3 linked regions of the Mus musculus genome follow. The protein of the gene in region 1 purifies or fractionates together with the protein of each later gene. This does not show direct contact. Links are inferred from orthologs where the notes say so. Each region holds a gene or a part of one and is shown on either strand. Other genes may lie near its edges.

Region 1 (5,246 bases):
GACAGTATGTCTGGTCAGAAGCTAGGTCAGGACCTTTCAAGTCCTCACCATGCCCTTGGGTAAGTTCGTACTTTCTCTCTTTTGGGTGCAATGGCATCAAGCTCATCGATGAAGATGATAGCAGGAGCATTCTTTTCAGCTTCCTCAAAGGCTTTACGAAGGTTGCTCTCAGACTCACCAGCCAATTTGCTCATGATTTCAGGACCTGAAGAGATACAGAATAGACAATGAGGGGGAGTAAGATGGCTTAATCAGGTCAAGGTACTTGTTTCCAAGCCTGATGACCTACGTTTAATCCTGGACCCAACATAGAAGAAACAAGGAACTAATTCCTCCAAGTTGTCCTCTGACTTTCACATGTGCATGAGTACACAATACAAATTTTTTTAAAGATTTATTTTATTTATGAGTACTCTGTAGCTGTCTTCAGACACACGGGAAGAGGGCGTCGGATCATATTACTGATGGTTATGAGCCACCATGTGGTTGCTGGGACTTGAACTCAGGATCTCTGGAAGAGCAGTCAGTGCTCTTAAACGCTGAGTCATCTCTCCAACTCAAGCACACAATAAATAGAAGTTATTTTTTTAAAACAATGACAAAAATCTGTCCTCCCCCAATCCCTAAAGAAACTTATATTTTTTCCCCTAGCCCAAATACAGGTCCTGAATAAGAATGCAGTAATTTCTGTCTTTAATAGCCTCCCCCCACCCCAAACCCCCATTATCATGTAAGAACTACCAGGCCAGACCAAAGAGAAGACAAGAGACTCCACATGCTTTTGACAGCACAGTTCCAACTGCGGATATGACAAAAATGATTTGGTAAAAGGCCCAATGGAACCCTAATACCTGAGTATCATTCTAAAGACAATGATAGCTCAGCCCATATTCCCCAACTAGTCTCAGATAAAAATAAACCTTTTAGATGGGCATGGTGGCATATGCCTTTAATCCCAGCACTTGGGAGGCAGAAGCAAGTGATATCTGTGAGTTTCAAGAGCAGCCTGGTCTACAGAGTGAGTTCTGGGATAGCCAGGACTATACAAGGAAACCCTATCTCAAAACAAACAAACAAGCAAACAAACTTTTGGTTTATCATTACAGCTTGTTTCTCTGTCTTCAGCTTATTCACAATCCTTCGCAAGGGAAGAAAAGACATACGTGGGCTACAAGAGAATTTGCCAGGGCCACACTGTAGGCAAAATATTTTTGTGTACTGCATAGATTATCTTTGTGGGGCTGGAGAGATGGCTTAGCAGTTAAGAGCACTGACTATTCTTCCAAAGGTCCTGAGTTTAATTCCCAGCAACCACATGGTGGCTCACAACCATCTATAAAGGGATCTGATGCCCTCTTCTGTTATGTCTGAAGACAGCTACAGTATACTCATATACATAAGATAAATAAATAAATCTTTTAAACAAAAAGGATTACCCTTGCATTATTCAAATGCGGATTTCTCTGCTTCCGTATCTATTTGCAATCCGGACATGGCATTGTAATGCTTATTATAGTTGTTCCCCATTTATTCTGACTTGTCAATAAAAGCTAACCAGCCAATGGCTGGGCAGAAAAGAAAATAGGGTGGCGGGACTTCCACTAGTATGAAGATGGGGGAAGAAAGGAAAATTCACAGTGAGAAAACGGTCCTGGAGACATCTCTGAAGCTCAGAGCACCAAATCTCTCAATCATCTGGATACTTTGCAACCAAATACGAAGATATTTTGGCTGCAAAGTATCCAGATGAGCTTAGAAGATTAGAATAAATCAATGACTTCCCAGGTACTGTGCGGTAAAGCTAAATTAAATAAATCTTAGATTCAGTTTTGCTTATTTGTGAGCCAGCCAGGGATAGAGAAATACTGCCACTTTTAAAATTATTGCAATACCATACAGTGAGACCATATTTCAACTCTTATCCCTTTTCACCCCACCCCTAAAAAGCCTTCCCCTTATTGCTTATCTTCTCATAATATACTCATTCATCAGAAAATGTTTAAGTGAGGCTATAGAGACAGCTCAGGACCTAAAGAGTCTGCCTTAAACACATGAATACCCAAGTTAGATCCCTAAAAAACAGGCATGGTAGCACACACTTGTAAATCCAGCACTGGAGAGAGGCAGACTCCTGCAGCTGTCTGGTTAGTCAATCTATATACAGTTCCTGGTAAATGAGACCCTGTCTCTAAAATGGTATGTACCTGAAGAACATGAAATTATCCTCTGAACACCACACATGTGCATGCATACCACTATATATTAGCACACATGTACACAAAAAAAAAAATGGCTAAAGTTAGGCTGGAGAGAAGACTCAGTGGCTAGCAGCACTGATTGTTTTGGTTCAGAGTATAATCCCCAGCACCTACAGTGGTTCATGATAACTTATTAACTCTAGTTCTAGGGGGATCTATGCCCTCTTCTGGCTTCCTCAGGCACTGCACATACATAATACACAGACATGTAGAAAAAACAGTAACCTTAAATTATAAATTTTGTAATATGCTGAAGGGTATAGGTGCAGGTGAATGTTTCCATGAGTTGCCTAACTCAGAAATGGGTCTAGACGGACCAAGTTTCTTACCATTGATCAGAAAGAAGAAGGCTCCAGTTTCATTTGCCACAGCTCGAGCAATCAGGGTCTTCCCTGTCCCAGGAGGCCCATACAACAAGATTCCCCGAGGAGGCTGAGGACAACAAAGTTCAGTTAGGGTCAGAAGTTTACCTTCCCCAACTCACCCATCTAACTAGCTTGACTAGAGCTCTAGTGAGGGGTGAGCATCAGGGCTCTACACTGATACCATTAAGAAAAGGCCTTTGGTGTCCAGAGGGATGGCTCAGCATTTATGAGCACTGGCTATTCTTCCATTGGTTGTGGCTGACAACCACCTGTAACTCCAGTTCTAGAGCTATCTGATGTCTTCTTCTGGTCTCTGCAGACACTGAAAGCTTATGGTGCACACATATACGTAAAAGAACTAACAGCCACACACATAAAATAGTAATTTAAAAACAAACAAACAAACAAGCCTTTGAGATACGTTTATAATCCCAGCTGAGGAGGGAAAGAAGGACTACATACTTGAGGCCAGAATGATTTACAATGGGAGACCAAAGAAAAACAAAAGAGCCAGATGTGGTCTGAATCTTCAACCCAGCTCTCAAGTCAGAAGCAGGCAGGTCTCTGAGTTTGAGGCTAACCTGTTCTATACAGTAAGTTAGGATTCTGCTGCCCAAAACAAACACAAACAAACAGACACATACTCCTCAGAAATAAACACTAATGAATCATATACACTGTTACTTAAAGAAAAGTGATGCCAGAAAGCTGGTAACATTTATAAATGCAATTTGCATAGGAGACTAATCGTGAACAACCTTTAAAAAGTCACACCTAGGGACTATAAAAACTGGAAGGAAGGAGAGTAAGTAACAAGTTATTACACCAAGGGCGCAATTCCTGACAAACCAGGATACGAGTTATTTACTAAATAAAGCAAGATCAGATTTTCAGGGTTAGAGTTCTTCACTCATGTATTCAACCTTCTAGGTCAGCGGTTCGAAATCTGTGGGTCACGATCACTGGAAAACACCTATTTCTGATGTCTTAGGATCCCCCAACCATTTCCGTTGCTACTTCATAACTCTAATTTTGCTACTGAGTGGTGTCTTAGTTCCTAAGACTACCAGAAATGTGTAATTTCCAGTGGAGCTATCTTACAGGTTGAGAACCGTTGTTTGATGATGTGCTAATGTCTTTTTTACTTTTTCTCTTTAAAAGATTTATTATTTGTTTGTATGTATGTATGTATGTATGTATGTATGTATGTATGTATGTATGTATGTATGTATGTGAGTTCACTGTAGCTGTCTTCAGACATACTAGAAGGGGACATCAGATCCCATTACAGATGGGTGTGAGACACCATATGGTTGCTGGGAATTTAACACAGGACCTCTGGAAGAGCAGTCAGTGCTCCTAACTGCTGAGCCTTAGAATGTCTTTTTTTCTCTTTTTCTCAAAACAGTTATTTCTCTAATAAAATAACACACAAACAGGACTTCTCTGTGTAACCCTGGCTGTCCTGGAACTCTCTCTGTAGAAATGACTGGCAAGCCTCAAATTCATTGATGCACCTGCCTCTGCCTCGTGAGTGCTATGAATGAAGGAGTGTCTTTTTTTCTAAAATAATCAACTGCAACTTCCTTTTGGAAGTTGTCTGCAGCCTTATGCACAAGACACTGAAACTGTTCTCAATGAAGACAAAACCACTTGTATGCTTACTAGGCAAAGTAGTCACTTCATCTTTAGTGTTCTATCACATAGAAAAGATCAAAAACTATATTCTAGATAGGTGGGTCTCAAATATCTAACTCAGTATCCTAATATTCCATTAATCTTCTTTTATTGAGCAATGTTCTACAAAAATTGGCAAAATTAAGGTTAAGATTTTAATAGGATTCATGAGATAAGAACTGTTGTTTAAGCATATTATGTTTGTGTATATGTGTACATACACACATATGACAATCTATAGCTCTAATGAATTTAGAGCCTTCTATAAACCCAGATTATTATTGCCTCTTTATGCTATTTACGGTAGTCACACCACTGATTATACACTGTCAGCTGCATGTTAGACTCCCCACAGACCTTAGGATACTCACCTTTACACCAATCGCCTTAAAGAGCGCAGGATGTCTCAGTGGCAGCTCCACCATCTCCTTTATCTGAGCTAGCTGCTTCCTGCAACCACCGATGTCATCATAGCCTACTTCATTCAAGGATTCCTCCTCATCCTGAATATAGAAGAGTACAAAACAAACAGAACCCCACAGAAATAGTATTGTCAGCAAAAATACAATTTCTCCAAATCCTCCCACTATTTGGTGTAGAAGAAACTATGCTGTGTGAGACGATTCTCTTCTACAGGGATCTTGTCTTAAGCCAGGAACATGCCTGTAAATTCTGTACTTGGAAGGAGGCAGAAAGACTGAGTGTGAGGCCAGCTTAAGCCACAAAGTGAGTTCCAGACAGCTTATACAACAATACCCAGTCAAAGAAAAACAAAACAAAGCAAAAGCCCCGAAACCCTGCTCTCTCACAGTCCTTAGTTTTACTGGAAAGGGATCCCTACAAAAGTTCAAGCTGACCTACACAGGACTGGGTTCATCAGTACCCCATCCTGAATGGAGTAGGGGTGAGGGAGTGGGTCAGAAAAGCACCACCCTACCCTGAGGAG
Region 2 (5,706 bases), on another chromosome or scaffold:
AACTCAATTCCCACAGGGAAACCCTTAGTGGAAGGAAAAAAGAGAACACAGAAGACTGAGGGAGAGGTAGGAAGAGGAATGGACTCTATCAGCTCCCTTTTCGGACCCCAGACAATTAGAAGATGTCTACAAAAGACCTTGATCTTAGAAAAGTATGGCTCTTACATCAGGGGATTTTGGGGGGTCTCTGGGCTCACAGACAATGCTGAGAATCTGATAAAATGCTATTATGAAACCTACCTGAGCACAGCTACAAAAGCCTGTATCCCCAGCACTTGGGAGGCTATGGTAGGGGCATTATGTGTTCCAGGTCAGCTGAGGTTACAAAACAATACCTTAACACAAAACAAAAATGTATATAGCAGTTTTCATTCCATGTCACCATGTTTTTGGAACAGTGGAAGGACCAAAGAGGAACCAAATCTCACTTTGGTAGTAAAAAGATCTCAAGTTAAAGTGCTATAAACGCTCTCCCCACCCCTAAGCCCCCCAAAATTTATTTTCACTCAAACTATAAAATGTGCAGAGAGCTACAGAAAGATAAAACAAAAACAAAAACAAAACAAAACAAACAAAAACCCCACAAATATAGCAAACACTCCCTAGATGCTGGCAGTTAGCCTGCAGGTGCTCAGTGCACTGCTGAGTATCCAGAAAAGAACATGTTCTTTAAATTGCTGGTAAATGTTCTCAGCTTCACAGGCCAGTCTCTAAATCACTCAACTTGGGCTCACAGCACAACAGCTGCAATGGGAAGGAACCACTAGGTAAACAAACAAACATGTCTTTTATTCCAGCAAAGCTTTACTTAATAAAGCTACTGGCATGGCTTTCACTCAAGCAAAACTTTACTTGCAAAAGCTGGCTGTGGATGGATATGGTACTAAGGCTGTCTTTTGCTGACCTGTATACTAGTTTTCAACATTCTTCCCTCAATTTCTTACATGCCTGTGCTCCTCTTCCATCTGAACTATGGGAAATGCATGGGCCAGGGTGACAACTGGTGAGCAGTGAGCAGCAGCCCTAAGGACAATGGATGGTATCAGGGAGCAACCACCATTCCATTCATAATCTTCATGCCAGCAATAATAGCATCATGGATCATCTATAAAGTGTTCCCTGTATACTCAGGTAGTTTATTCATACTCTGCTCTGAGGTTTTCTAGAAAAACCATATTAACAGGCGAGGATGCTGATGCAAAACAAGAAGCACTTGATAGAAAGCAGTGAGTTCCCAAGCAGAACCTAAGCAGTCTGACTATCTGCACCGTCACTGTGTCTAGGAGTAGGGGTCCTGAACACCACGCTTCCTGTCCATTTGTGGACAGTTCTTTCACTCTACTCTTTCTGTCAACAGTGTGCATTGTTTTGTTCAGGAAGATGGCACTGTGAATGTTGGAGTAAAGTGGCAGAAAGCTGTGTAGCCCTGTTGCCTAATTCAAGGCTATGCTGTCATGAGGTCATTTTCATCCAGCAAGACCTCTGACAGACTTCTGATCTCCAGAAACATAATAAAACTTTATGTTGTTGTATACTAAACTTATGGTGACTTGTTACAGGATCCTGACAAAATTGGCACACTGACCTAAGCTAGACAAGTTCCTTATTGTCTCTAGGTGAACATTTCATCCAACAGCTTCCCTCAACCTTAGCACTAAAATCTTTGTTTCCTACCTAAGAAAGATGTCCTATATACTGCAATCATGCTTAACAGCATTCATGACTTCAACCTACTAAAAGCAGCAACAATCTCCCAGTTGTGGCAACCAAACCATCCCTAGACATTACTAAACACCCTTGGAGCCAAAAAACTAGAACTATAGCCATTGCGCGCATACACACACACACACACACACACACACACACACACTCTCTCTCTCTCTCTATCTGGATTCATCTCCAACTTTTTAAACTTTACATCCTAGAAGGAGCCTCCCTCAACTAGCCTAATTCCTCACCCAACTGTCTAGAGGTTACACACTCTGCCCAGAATCTAATGGCTCCTTCAACAAGCAGGTACTGTTTCAAATTTCAACAAGACTTTCCCATGCTTACTCTACATTTCTTATTTTCTCCTTAAAATTTTCCATAGTCAACATAATGCCTATTTATCTGTGACCACTCACTAAAAGGTTAATTCCTTTAAGGCAAGTTTTGTTCTTTTGTTCTTCAACTATCCAAAATACCACTCTGAAGAAAGGCCCAGCAAACACTTGCTGATTCACTCTTTCAACATTGACAAGTCTCATTCTTTCTTACATGTGGTAATATGCAGATTTAGTTCTGTTTACCTGTTTCACATCTAGCCTTTGTACAGCAACCAGACTGCTTCTTTCTTGATACAGTGTCACCAGGCTAGCCTTGACACTGCCTTTGCCTCCTGAGTGCTGGGATTGCTAGCATGCATGCACCACTATACCAAGCTCTGGTCTCCTTTATGACCCAATAACATTCCTCATGCTTTGCATGTGTTTACAGAACATATGCAAATAAATTCATTCAGTATACCCAAAACCAGATTATTATTCCCATTTAACAGAAGAGAAACACAGACTGCCTGAGTCAATTTGCAAAAATTGCAAGATCCAGGAGTACAAATCCAGTCTTGCCAACAATGGAACCAGAGTCACACATAAATACGTAAGACTTAGAGGATAGGCCCAGGTTCAGGAAGGTGACTGAGTGCAGCATGAACAATTCTATATAAAAGGAAAAGCAGAGGGCTGTAGCACAGTGCCACAATAGCCACACCCCCAAAATAATTGCTAACATTTATAGAGCCTTTACATACAGCCAGTTTCATTTTACTACTTTTCCTCGGCCACCGAGGGAAACCAGGACTATTATTAGCCGCTATTTGTAGAAAACAGAAGCCAGGGGCGATGAAATAATGTGCACACAAGGTCATCCTCAGGTGAGAGGATGCGGCCTTGAGGTCTGACCTCTTTTTCAAATCCAAAGCAGTCCGACAACTCTGGGGTCCTGGCTCATTCTTCTCCCATGAACCAGAACTATCAACTCTCTTGGCAGGCCGGCTTGGGACCAGGTCGGAGAACAGGTGGGTCTGTGCACGTTACCCACCCCAGCTACGGCTAGTTAAATCTCAGGAGAGGATACTTTCACCGCCTCCTTCCTCCTCCTTCAGGAGAGCTAACCCAAAATACAAGGTGGAGGTCGGTGAAGAATGGACAGAAATCTCGGTATCAGTCCCCAATCCCAATATCAGTCCCCACTCCTTCCAGTTAAAACGAAAACATTAAAAGCAATGGGAACTCTACCCGGGTCGCCAGGACCCCTGAGGGTTTCTACTCAGCAGGTCACGCGCCCCCGCCGATTCTCTACAAAGAGCCATTCTGAGTCCGCCGCCAATCACCGACTGGCAGGCGGCAACAAGACCGCCACCCTATCTCGGGCCGCCCAGGCCCAGATCTGGGGCGGCCGCGCGCACTCAGGTAGGACCCTCGAGGCTTGCCCTCCGCTTGGCCGGGCACCCAATGAAGGCTGCCATCTCATCGAACCTTGCTATTAAGAAAGATGAGACCTGAATTCTGATTGGCTGCCGCTGCTTTCCGCCACTCCCGGAGAACCCGGAGCCATCGCTCCCACATTCCGCGAAGATCCCCGTCCCCGATCTCCCCCACACACTCTAACGGAAGGATCCCCGTACCTGAACGTCCTCATTGCGGAGTTCATCTATGAGCACCGCAATAGGATAGAGCGAATCGTCACCGTCGGCAGCTGCCATCTTGGCTCCCTGGCGTTTCTATCAGGCAGCAGCGAGCTCCAGGCGGAATCCGGGATCGGGCGGGGCGGTGCCGGGGAAAGGACGCAAAGCGGACGTGGGGGCGCCCGAGCCGCCCTACAGGGGCCGTCCCGCCGCCATTGCCGCACAAGCTCGCGTCTGTTTGGTCTGAACCAACCAAGTCCCGCCTACTTCTCATTCACCATTGGCCGGACGAATGAGATGTTTTTCCCGAAGGACGAGAGGAACCGGAAGTGAAGTATCTTAGTGACCAAGATTGTGCCCGCCTACGTCGCTGCTAGCAACCACGGGAACAAGCAGGTCTAGCTGCCAATGAGAGTCGAGGGTGGGAGGTGGCTAAGATGGCCCCTTGGGGAGAGGCGGAGAAGACTTAAGCTGGAGTCTTGGGAGCTATGCGTGACGTAATGAAGGACATGCTTGTCTGGTTCTGCTATACCGGTCTCTGTAAAGGAGGGACTCCTAAGTAGGGAGATTTGCCTTGCTTGGTTTCTAGGATGCGGTTCTGGGGCTCTTGGCGTTCAAGGCTTTATTACCCACCCCCCTTACCCGGAAGAAATAGAGCGGCCAGAGCGAGTCTTCATCCTGCCGGGGAGCTTCTAGGTAGCTAGTAAAAAATGAACAAGGTCGAAAGTTTTTTGAGGATGGACCTCTGCCTCATAATGAGCTTGGGCGCTGTGATTCACTTAGAAGGCGAATATAAAACTATCACAATCCTTTCTCCTTAAGGTTGAAAATATGAAAGGGAAGAAGGTGGGCATAGCGGGGTTGTTAGATGCTATCAAGGTTGTTAAAGCGTGGCTATTTCTATACTTGATTTTTGTTTTCTCCTTTCGACTCCCCTCGCCTCTCCCCTCCTCCATCATCCTCCCCCCCACACCTCCATTCCTCCCTTCCCCCTTCTTCCTCTCCAATTAGAGAGAAAATTGAGAAAGCACCCTCACAGAGAGTGGAAATAAACAAACAAACAAACAAACAACCCCCCCCCCCTCACAGAGAGTAGGCGTTCCTAAGTAATGATGCAGATCACATATCTCTGGCCCTGAATAGGAAACACTTGGTCTTGTGATAACGAACAGAAGGCATAGCCATGTGTGAAAGTGCACATGCTTTCAATCATGAAACTCAGGAAGCAAAAACTTGTCATCTTTCTGAGATTGACATCATCTTGGTCTACATAGTGACCTCCGGGCCAGTCAAAGGTCTATGGTGTAACCCTCAAAAGACAGCCATACCATTGCCTCATCCCATAAGAGTTAATCCAAATGGTCTGGCTTAGAAACTTCAGTTTATACGCTACCTCACTAAAAGAGTTTGGCACAATGGTACCATTGTCTATTCTTTGTGAGTGTATTTTCTTTTATGATCTCTCTGGCCATTCTTCAGTTTCTTTCCTTTATATGAACTCTTCTATACTGTACTTTATGTGTTTCTGAAACCAATCAACAGAAAACTGGGGAACTCAGGAGAGGCTATGGAGAGGAATTCCAAACAGTGCCTTCTTGGACCATTTTTGATTTAACAGATCTTTTGGAAAAAACATCCTCTTGCCTGTCTCCTCTCCTTTCAGATATAGTAAAGTTTTCTAGTCTTACTTTGAACTGCCCTAGGTTAAACATTGTAGGAAGCACTGGATTTCTTAACAAGTACAAGAAGAGGGTAAGTTTAATTAATTAGTACTAGGTTGTGATTGGTAATGGGCTTACTGGCATTTCTAATCAATTTATGTGAATTATGAAAACTAAAAAATAAGGTTTTATTTACTTTTTTGATTTTAAATTTGTATCCTTTATCTCTTATGCTGAAAAACACTAAATTTTTAGTGACATTGACATAGTCATATTTATGATTAATGATTACATTTTAGGATATTATGAAATAGTAAATGTTATTCAGTTATGCCGTGGGCAACACAGCTGGACATCAACAGGGCCTAGCAAGGAAGG
Region 3 (5,905 bases), on another chromosome or scaffold:
GGCACGATTTCCAACCCTTCAACCCAAGGACAAATAACCCCAGTAGGGGGGCAATATTAACATCACAAGCCCAGAAATGATTCTTCTTATAGCTTTAAATAAACCAGAATTTTAACTTTAGGTGAATGGTATGCTTTCAACAAGTACTCTTAAAATATGCATTGCAATAATAAGAAGTTCCACTATAAAGAGTATAACTCAATTCTTAACACACCCAAGGCATAGTATATACAGTAAAGAAAAAAAAGTGTTATACTCCAGAGGGTGCATTAAGAATTCAACAATTAAAAACATTTTAATCTATGCATCTTAATAGAATTATACAAGAACTTTAAATTTTTTAAGCATTAAAATAACAATTTAAGTAAAATAAGAAACCTTTTAACCTCATATATTTCAATTCTTTTTAAGTTATTGGAACTTCAATTTTAAAATTACACATTTAAACAGTTTATGTAAAAATTGAAAACATTTTAAAAATCATAATTGACAAACATACAAACTAAACTTTCAACAATAACTATCTACAAAGCAATCATGCACTCTTATGTTCTAACAGTAGTATGATTCACTTCTGGAAATTCCGTCTATGAAAAATCCTTCCCGTGGATACATTCCCAAGCTTACAAAAAGGCCTTAAAGCACTTTCCTAGAAGATATGAAATTATGTTCATATTTAACGTTGACAGATAGCATTCAATTCTCACCAATTTAGATAAAACAAAACAGACTTGATTTCAAACTATAAAATATTACAAATTGATACATATATAAAGTTCTAGTCAAAGTTCTAATACATACTATGCTAAAAACTATTAAGATATTTGATTAATTCTGTCTATGTCATCAAGAGTATTAATAGTACTTAAAATATACAAGATTTAACATTCTGCTAAGCATGCAAATCCTATCAGCTCTTCAACATAAAAACATTCAAATACTTTAGGCCCAGAACAACTTCAAAAACTTCTATACTGCTTTCATATTGAGACTACAAGCATTCAACCTACACTTGCTACAATTTACTTTTTTGACTTCTAATAGGCTACCTAAGCCAAGTTCCTTTCATAACAATTTTCATACAGAGAATTACACTAGCTAAAATATTTCTGGTCCCATGACGGAAAATAAGTTATAACACCATAAACTGTAACAATCTAGACTCACACTAATCTAATGTTAAAAGAGCTTACCTTTAACTTGAAGTACTTTGCTAAACAGCAATATGAGGAAGTTAAGATGGCTGAGTAGAATCCTCAAAGGTCTACTCTGAACTACAATACTAAATATAGGCAAAGTTAACACTTTGGAAATACTTCTAATTTCCACCTTTAAGATGGGCTTAAGTTATTTGAAGGTCTCCAGGAAGAAAATGTGAATTCAACAACATATATTCAACAGCCTACTTTAAGTACCTAGACTATTCAACTTTTTAAAGGTCTACTAATACTAATTCATGTCGCCAGAAGCTGCCATACCTCACTGCTCAGCAACAAACAGGACTACATACCTGAGAAGAACTGAACAATTTCTTCCTTGCTACATCCAAAAGGGAGTCCTCTAAGCCGTACAAAGCCATCATTGGCTGTGTCAGGACTATTTGGACCAGTATGCTTCAACACCCAATCCATTTCAACGTTGTTTGACTTGAATACTGAAAGAGGTGCTTAGAATTAGTCAATTAAGTTGGAGAACAAAGTTCAGATTTCCTGGGCTTTTAGATAACTAGGAAGAGCTGCCATAAACTCCCTTAGATGACCATTTCCATGCGGTCAAATACCTAAAATTCAGAAGGGGTAAGACCTCTATGTGTTTAAACGTTTACTGTTACTAGGGCAATGTAAATCAAACCTTCAACATATCTGTGTCCCATAGTTTCTCTGTCTTTTTTCAAGGCCAATTTGACTTCATCTTCTGATTCAAGTTCAACAAAAGCCTCGCCACTTGGTCTGCCTTCTCTGGTGTAGATGAAACGAATACCTTGAGCCCCATTTTGAATTTTGCAGTCTGAAAAGAAAACAACGCTTAATACAGGATTTAAAACCACTACAGATAAAATGCATATTCCTGTCATCACACACACCAAAAAAAAAAAAACATGCCTAAAAAGACTGACCAAGCAGAACACGATCAAATTATCTCATATACAGGATATATTCCTAGTCCAACAAGGTAACTCAATGCTCAAAAATAGTTCAAATGGAGCAGGGCAGTGGTGACGCACGCGTTTAATCCCAGCACTGGGGAGGCAGAGGCAGGCGGATTTCTGATTTCGAGGCCAGCCTGGTCTACAGAGTTCCAGGACAGCCAGAGCTACACAGAGAAACCCTGTCTCGAAAAAAAAAAAAAAAAAAGTTCAAATGAAGCTACCACCTTGCCTCTAAGTTTCCATTAACCATCTCTTGGTACACTATCTCAGAATAATCTCATCTGGATCTGGTGACTTCACAGCATTTTCTTGTTTGGGTACCATGTCAGCTTCCCTCTATCAGCAACCACATAACAATTTCATTCAAATCCAAACTCCAGCTCAATATTCATCCGAAAAGGGACCAATGTTAACAACTAAAGGCTCCAAGCTGCAGTTCAACTCAAACCCGGACGGCAACGGCCCCCTGCAATTGCTTGCAGTATACTTGGGGCTCGATTTACAGATCGTTTTCTGTTACCACAGCTAAATTCAGATGGTAAGGTCAACACTACAAGTACCTTTTTACAAAACCTTACACGACTTGAGAAGAAATCACATCTTTCCCTACTTAAATTTTTCTTAGACTACTCCAGAATGCACAGATTGATGCATAGAGACAGAAAAAGTTTTAAAAGAAAACAAATTCAGCAGGGCCACCAGCATCCCCAAGGGGGTTGGGGGGGGTGCGGATTTCGCAATTACCATTGCGTAACAGCGGCCAACAGAGCGCGAGCCGCCTGGGGAAACCGCTGGTGGCCGCGACTCGCTAGGGGGCGCCCGGGAGACCCGCCCCGCCCCAACCCGGCCCGGCCCGGCCCAGCCGCGGGCCCCACTGACAACTCCCGCCTCAACTCACCAGAAAAAAAGCGCTGCACTTCATCCGCGGAGCAGGACCAGGGCAAGCCCCGGACCTTCACCACGAAGCCCTCTCCGCCTTCTGCTCCCAGCATCATCGTCCCTTCGGTGGTCCTGGCGTCCACACAGATTGCGGGGCTGCGGGGTGGGGGTGGGGGTCAGGAACGCGTCTGAGAAAACAGGCATTTAAATGGCCCTCCCACTTCACGGCGCACAGCGGGCACCGGGCGCCGCCATGCGAGTCCCGCCCGTCAGGATGCCTGGGCCCCGGAGACTCAAGCATGCAACCCGGCCTCGGCTAGCGACCCGATGCCCAAAGCCGCCCAGTGCGCCCAGGGCCGAGGCGCCAAGCTAATAAGACCCTGGCCCACAGCCACGGTTGAGACGAGGAAATGGCGGCCGCCGCTTCCGCTCCGCCTCCTCAGACATCTCACACAATAGAAAGCGGCGCGGCCTGCAGGCCTAGGCGGCGCTGCCACGCCGGCGAGACACTCGCGGCTCCCAGGGGCAGCCTGCGCCTGCCACGGCCCCTCAGGTTAGAACCTAAGCTCAGCGACAAGCAATCGTCACCCAAAGAGGTGTCCGTGGAGAGCTCGGGCAGCAGTCGAAGACGGAAAGTCACTCACCTCCACAAAAAGCCTCGGCGTGGCTGAGGAGAAATGATAAGCGGGCGCCTGCGCAGGCTAAATAAAGCCCTTCCAGCAAGCTCTGCGCACGCGCACCCTGTTGCCGGCCCCGCCCCACTTGCGTCACAGAGAGATTGGACGCATGCGTATTAAGAAACCCCGAGCTCTCTCCCGCCGTCCTATTATTACACGCATGCGTTTGGGCTCAGCCCTCTTCATAAACTGACCGAGGTGTTTTTGGTTGTTTTTTTTTTTTCTTTCTGCGCCTGCGCCTTTTTGCAATTATTGCGCTTGGCGTCTCAGCGGTTTCTTGTTTTACTTAATGCGCATGCGGCTACCTTCAAACCGTTCTCTAGACCTACCCGCCGGAGTGGGGGAGGGGAATGGCGCTAATCAGCTCCCCGCAGGGACTGGGTAGTAATCCAGAGTTCGTTCAGGTTTGCAGGGGCGGTAGTTCTACCCTTAATCCGCAGCTTTTCATCCGCGCTCCTGTCGGTTTTGAAAGACACCACGAAGAAAAGGAAGCCATGCCCTTTCTCCTCAGAACGCGTAGGAGCTGGAGGGCCGGGTTGTGCCAAACCTCCTCTGGGTACCGCCCCGCCCCCTGCGCCCAAATCCCCGATCTCCGTGGGGCGCCTGGGACCAGTCCCCTTACCTGCCCGCTTTAGGGGGTCAGTCCCGACCCACATGGGCTGCCAGTGCCCGAGCTAGTCCTGTACCCCACTTTGCCTAACGGACTCGCACTCTACGAACCCCTCGCCCTTGCACGAGAGGCGCTCGGTGTGCGGCGCCTCGCGAGGGAAGGCTGAGACTGCCAGGGGCGCGAAGGACGCAGCCCCAGAGCGCTGCGCCCGACCGACCAACGGGCCTCTCCCAAGGTGGAGACACGCCCGGGTCATCCCGTGTGCCCTTACAGAGGTAAATGGGTGACGTTTAAGAGAATTCCTGCAACATAGCAGAATACGGATGATGTCCCGAGTTTCTCCGAATCTGACTGACCTACCCTAGAAATTAACAATAAGAGTTATTGTTTGGGCGGTGCCACGGTAGGTACCACAATTGGTAAGCCTCTGAAAGCCATCACAAGAGGTTACAGGCAAAAATACGCTTTTCTTTCAAGTGCAACATTGAGGAGGCTAAATCCAGTTTGAACAGTTTGTTTTTTAAAAGGGGGGGGTGTCATCAAAGGAAAGGTGCAGAGACTGCGTGCAGAACTCAGACCTTTTAAGTCTGCGCAAGGGTGTTAAGTAGAAGGGCATCACAAGACTTCAAGAGAGCAACAGGAGCTGTGTAACGTGAACCTTCAGGTGTAAGGGAAACTCGGATGAGACAGGCTGGGAGAATAACTGCACATGACCTCACCTGCAAAGGATCTATCTAGAGGAGACAGAAAACACTAGTTTAGATCATCGAAAAGTGAGAACTCCCAAGTCTCCAGGCCAGGAGGTGGGTGAAAGGCAAGAACACAAGCCCAGCCGAGGAGAACTGCAACTTCAAGACTTGCCTGAGCAACAGAGTGCGTTCAAGGCAGCCTGGGAAATTTACTGAAAGCCTGTCTCAAAAAGAAGACAAGAGAAATAGTAGTGGTAGAGAGCTTGCTTAACATGTATATTTCCCCCTACATGGTCTTGGGACATGAGATTGATTACCAAGAAACTAAGATTACTCTTCTTTAGCTAATTCACACCATTTGAGAGCCCTATACTTATTAGATGACCTGCGATCGTTGGTTAGATGTATGGGAAGAGCAATGCATACTAGAAAGGCTTTGAGCAAACCAGTCCTACCACTCAACTATATTTTCACACACACACACCGTTTTTTGTTTGAATCATCTTTTTTCACTTTGCACAGTAATGTGCCTGTAGTCCCATCTACTTGAGATGCTGAGATGGGAGAGTCACTGCAACTTAGCAATCCAGGTCTCTCACCTGAAGGGGGGGAAATGTTTCCCTTCTGACAACACAACCACATTCCTACGATGTTTCTCTAAATTCTATTCTAGTTGTATGGGAGGTTATTTTTCCATCGTAAGAGAAAAATGCAGTGTATAATCATAGATAAAAACTTTTATCTTTCCTTATTGTGTCCTTTCCTTATTGTTTTGAGTCCTGATTGCACACATCCCAGGCCGGCCTCAAACTCCCCTTGCAGTCATGCATGGTCTCAAGTGTTTGATCATCCGCCTCCAGAATGACAGGATTAAAGTGTGTGTGCCACCACACGCAATGAG

Evidence for each region.
Region 2: the proteins of Vcp (region 1) and Ppp2r1a purify together in Homo sapiens (affinity purification with western blotting; 4 studies listed by BioGRID, with this or other methods). This does not show direct contact. The link is inferred for Mus musculus from reciprocal best matches to the Homo sapiens genes VCP and PPP2R1A.
Region 3: the proteins of Vcp (region 1) and Hnrnph1 purify together in Homo sapiens (affinity purification with mass spectrometry, with the first as the bait; 3 studies listed by BioGRID). This does not show direct contact. The link is inferred for Mus musculus from reciprocal best matches to the Homo sapiens genes VCP and HNRNPH1.

What each region holds. Positions count from the first base shown.
Region 1 is NC_000070.6:42,986,075-42,991,320, forward strand, and holds part of Vcp (transitional endoplasmic reticulum ATPase), read right to left. Parts: intron 4,804-5,246; coding exon 4,672-4,803; intron 2,691-4,671; coding exon 2,588-2,690; intron 206-2,587; coding exon 72-205; intron 1-71. UniProt on the Homo sapiens protein: Necessary for the fragmentation of Golgi stacks during mitosis and for their reassembly after mitosis. Involved in the formation of the transitional endoplasmic reticulum (tER).
Region 2 is NC_000083.6:20,943,545-20,949,250, reverse strand, and holds the start of Ppp2r1a (serine/threonine-protein phosphatase 2A 65 kDa regulatory subunit A alpha isoform), read right to left. Parts: upstream 3,798-5,706; 5' UTR 3,746-3,797; coding exon 3,668-3,745; intron 1-3,667. UniProt on the Homo sapiens protein: The PR65 subunit of protein phosphatase 2A serves as a scaffolding molecule to coordinate the assembly of the catalytic subunit and a variable regulatory B subunit.
Region 3 is NC_000077.6:50,375,570-50,381,474, reverse strand, and holds the start of Hnrnph1 (heterogeneous nuclear ribonucleoprotein H), read right to left. Parts: upstream 3,798-5,905; 5' UTR 3,673-3,797; exon of another isoform or gene 3,617-3,672; intron 3,240-3,616; exon of another isoform or gene 3,185-3,239; 5' UTR 3,145-3,184; coding exon 3,048-3,144; intron 2,008-3,047; coding exon 1,852-2,007; intron 1,655-1,851; coding exon 1,511-1,654; intron 17-1,510; coding exon 1-16. UniProt on the Homo sapiens protein: This protein is a component of the heterogeneous nuclear ribonucleoprotein (hnRNP) complexes which provide the substrate for the processing events that pre-mRNAs undergo before becoming functional, translatable mRNAs in the cytoplasm.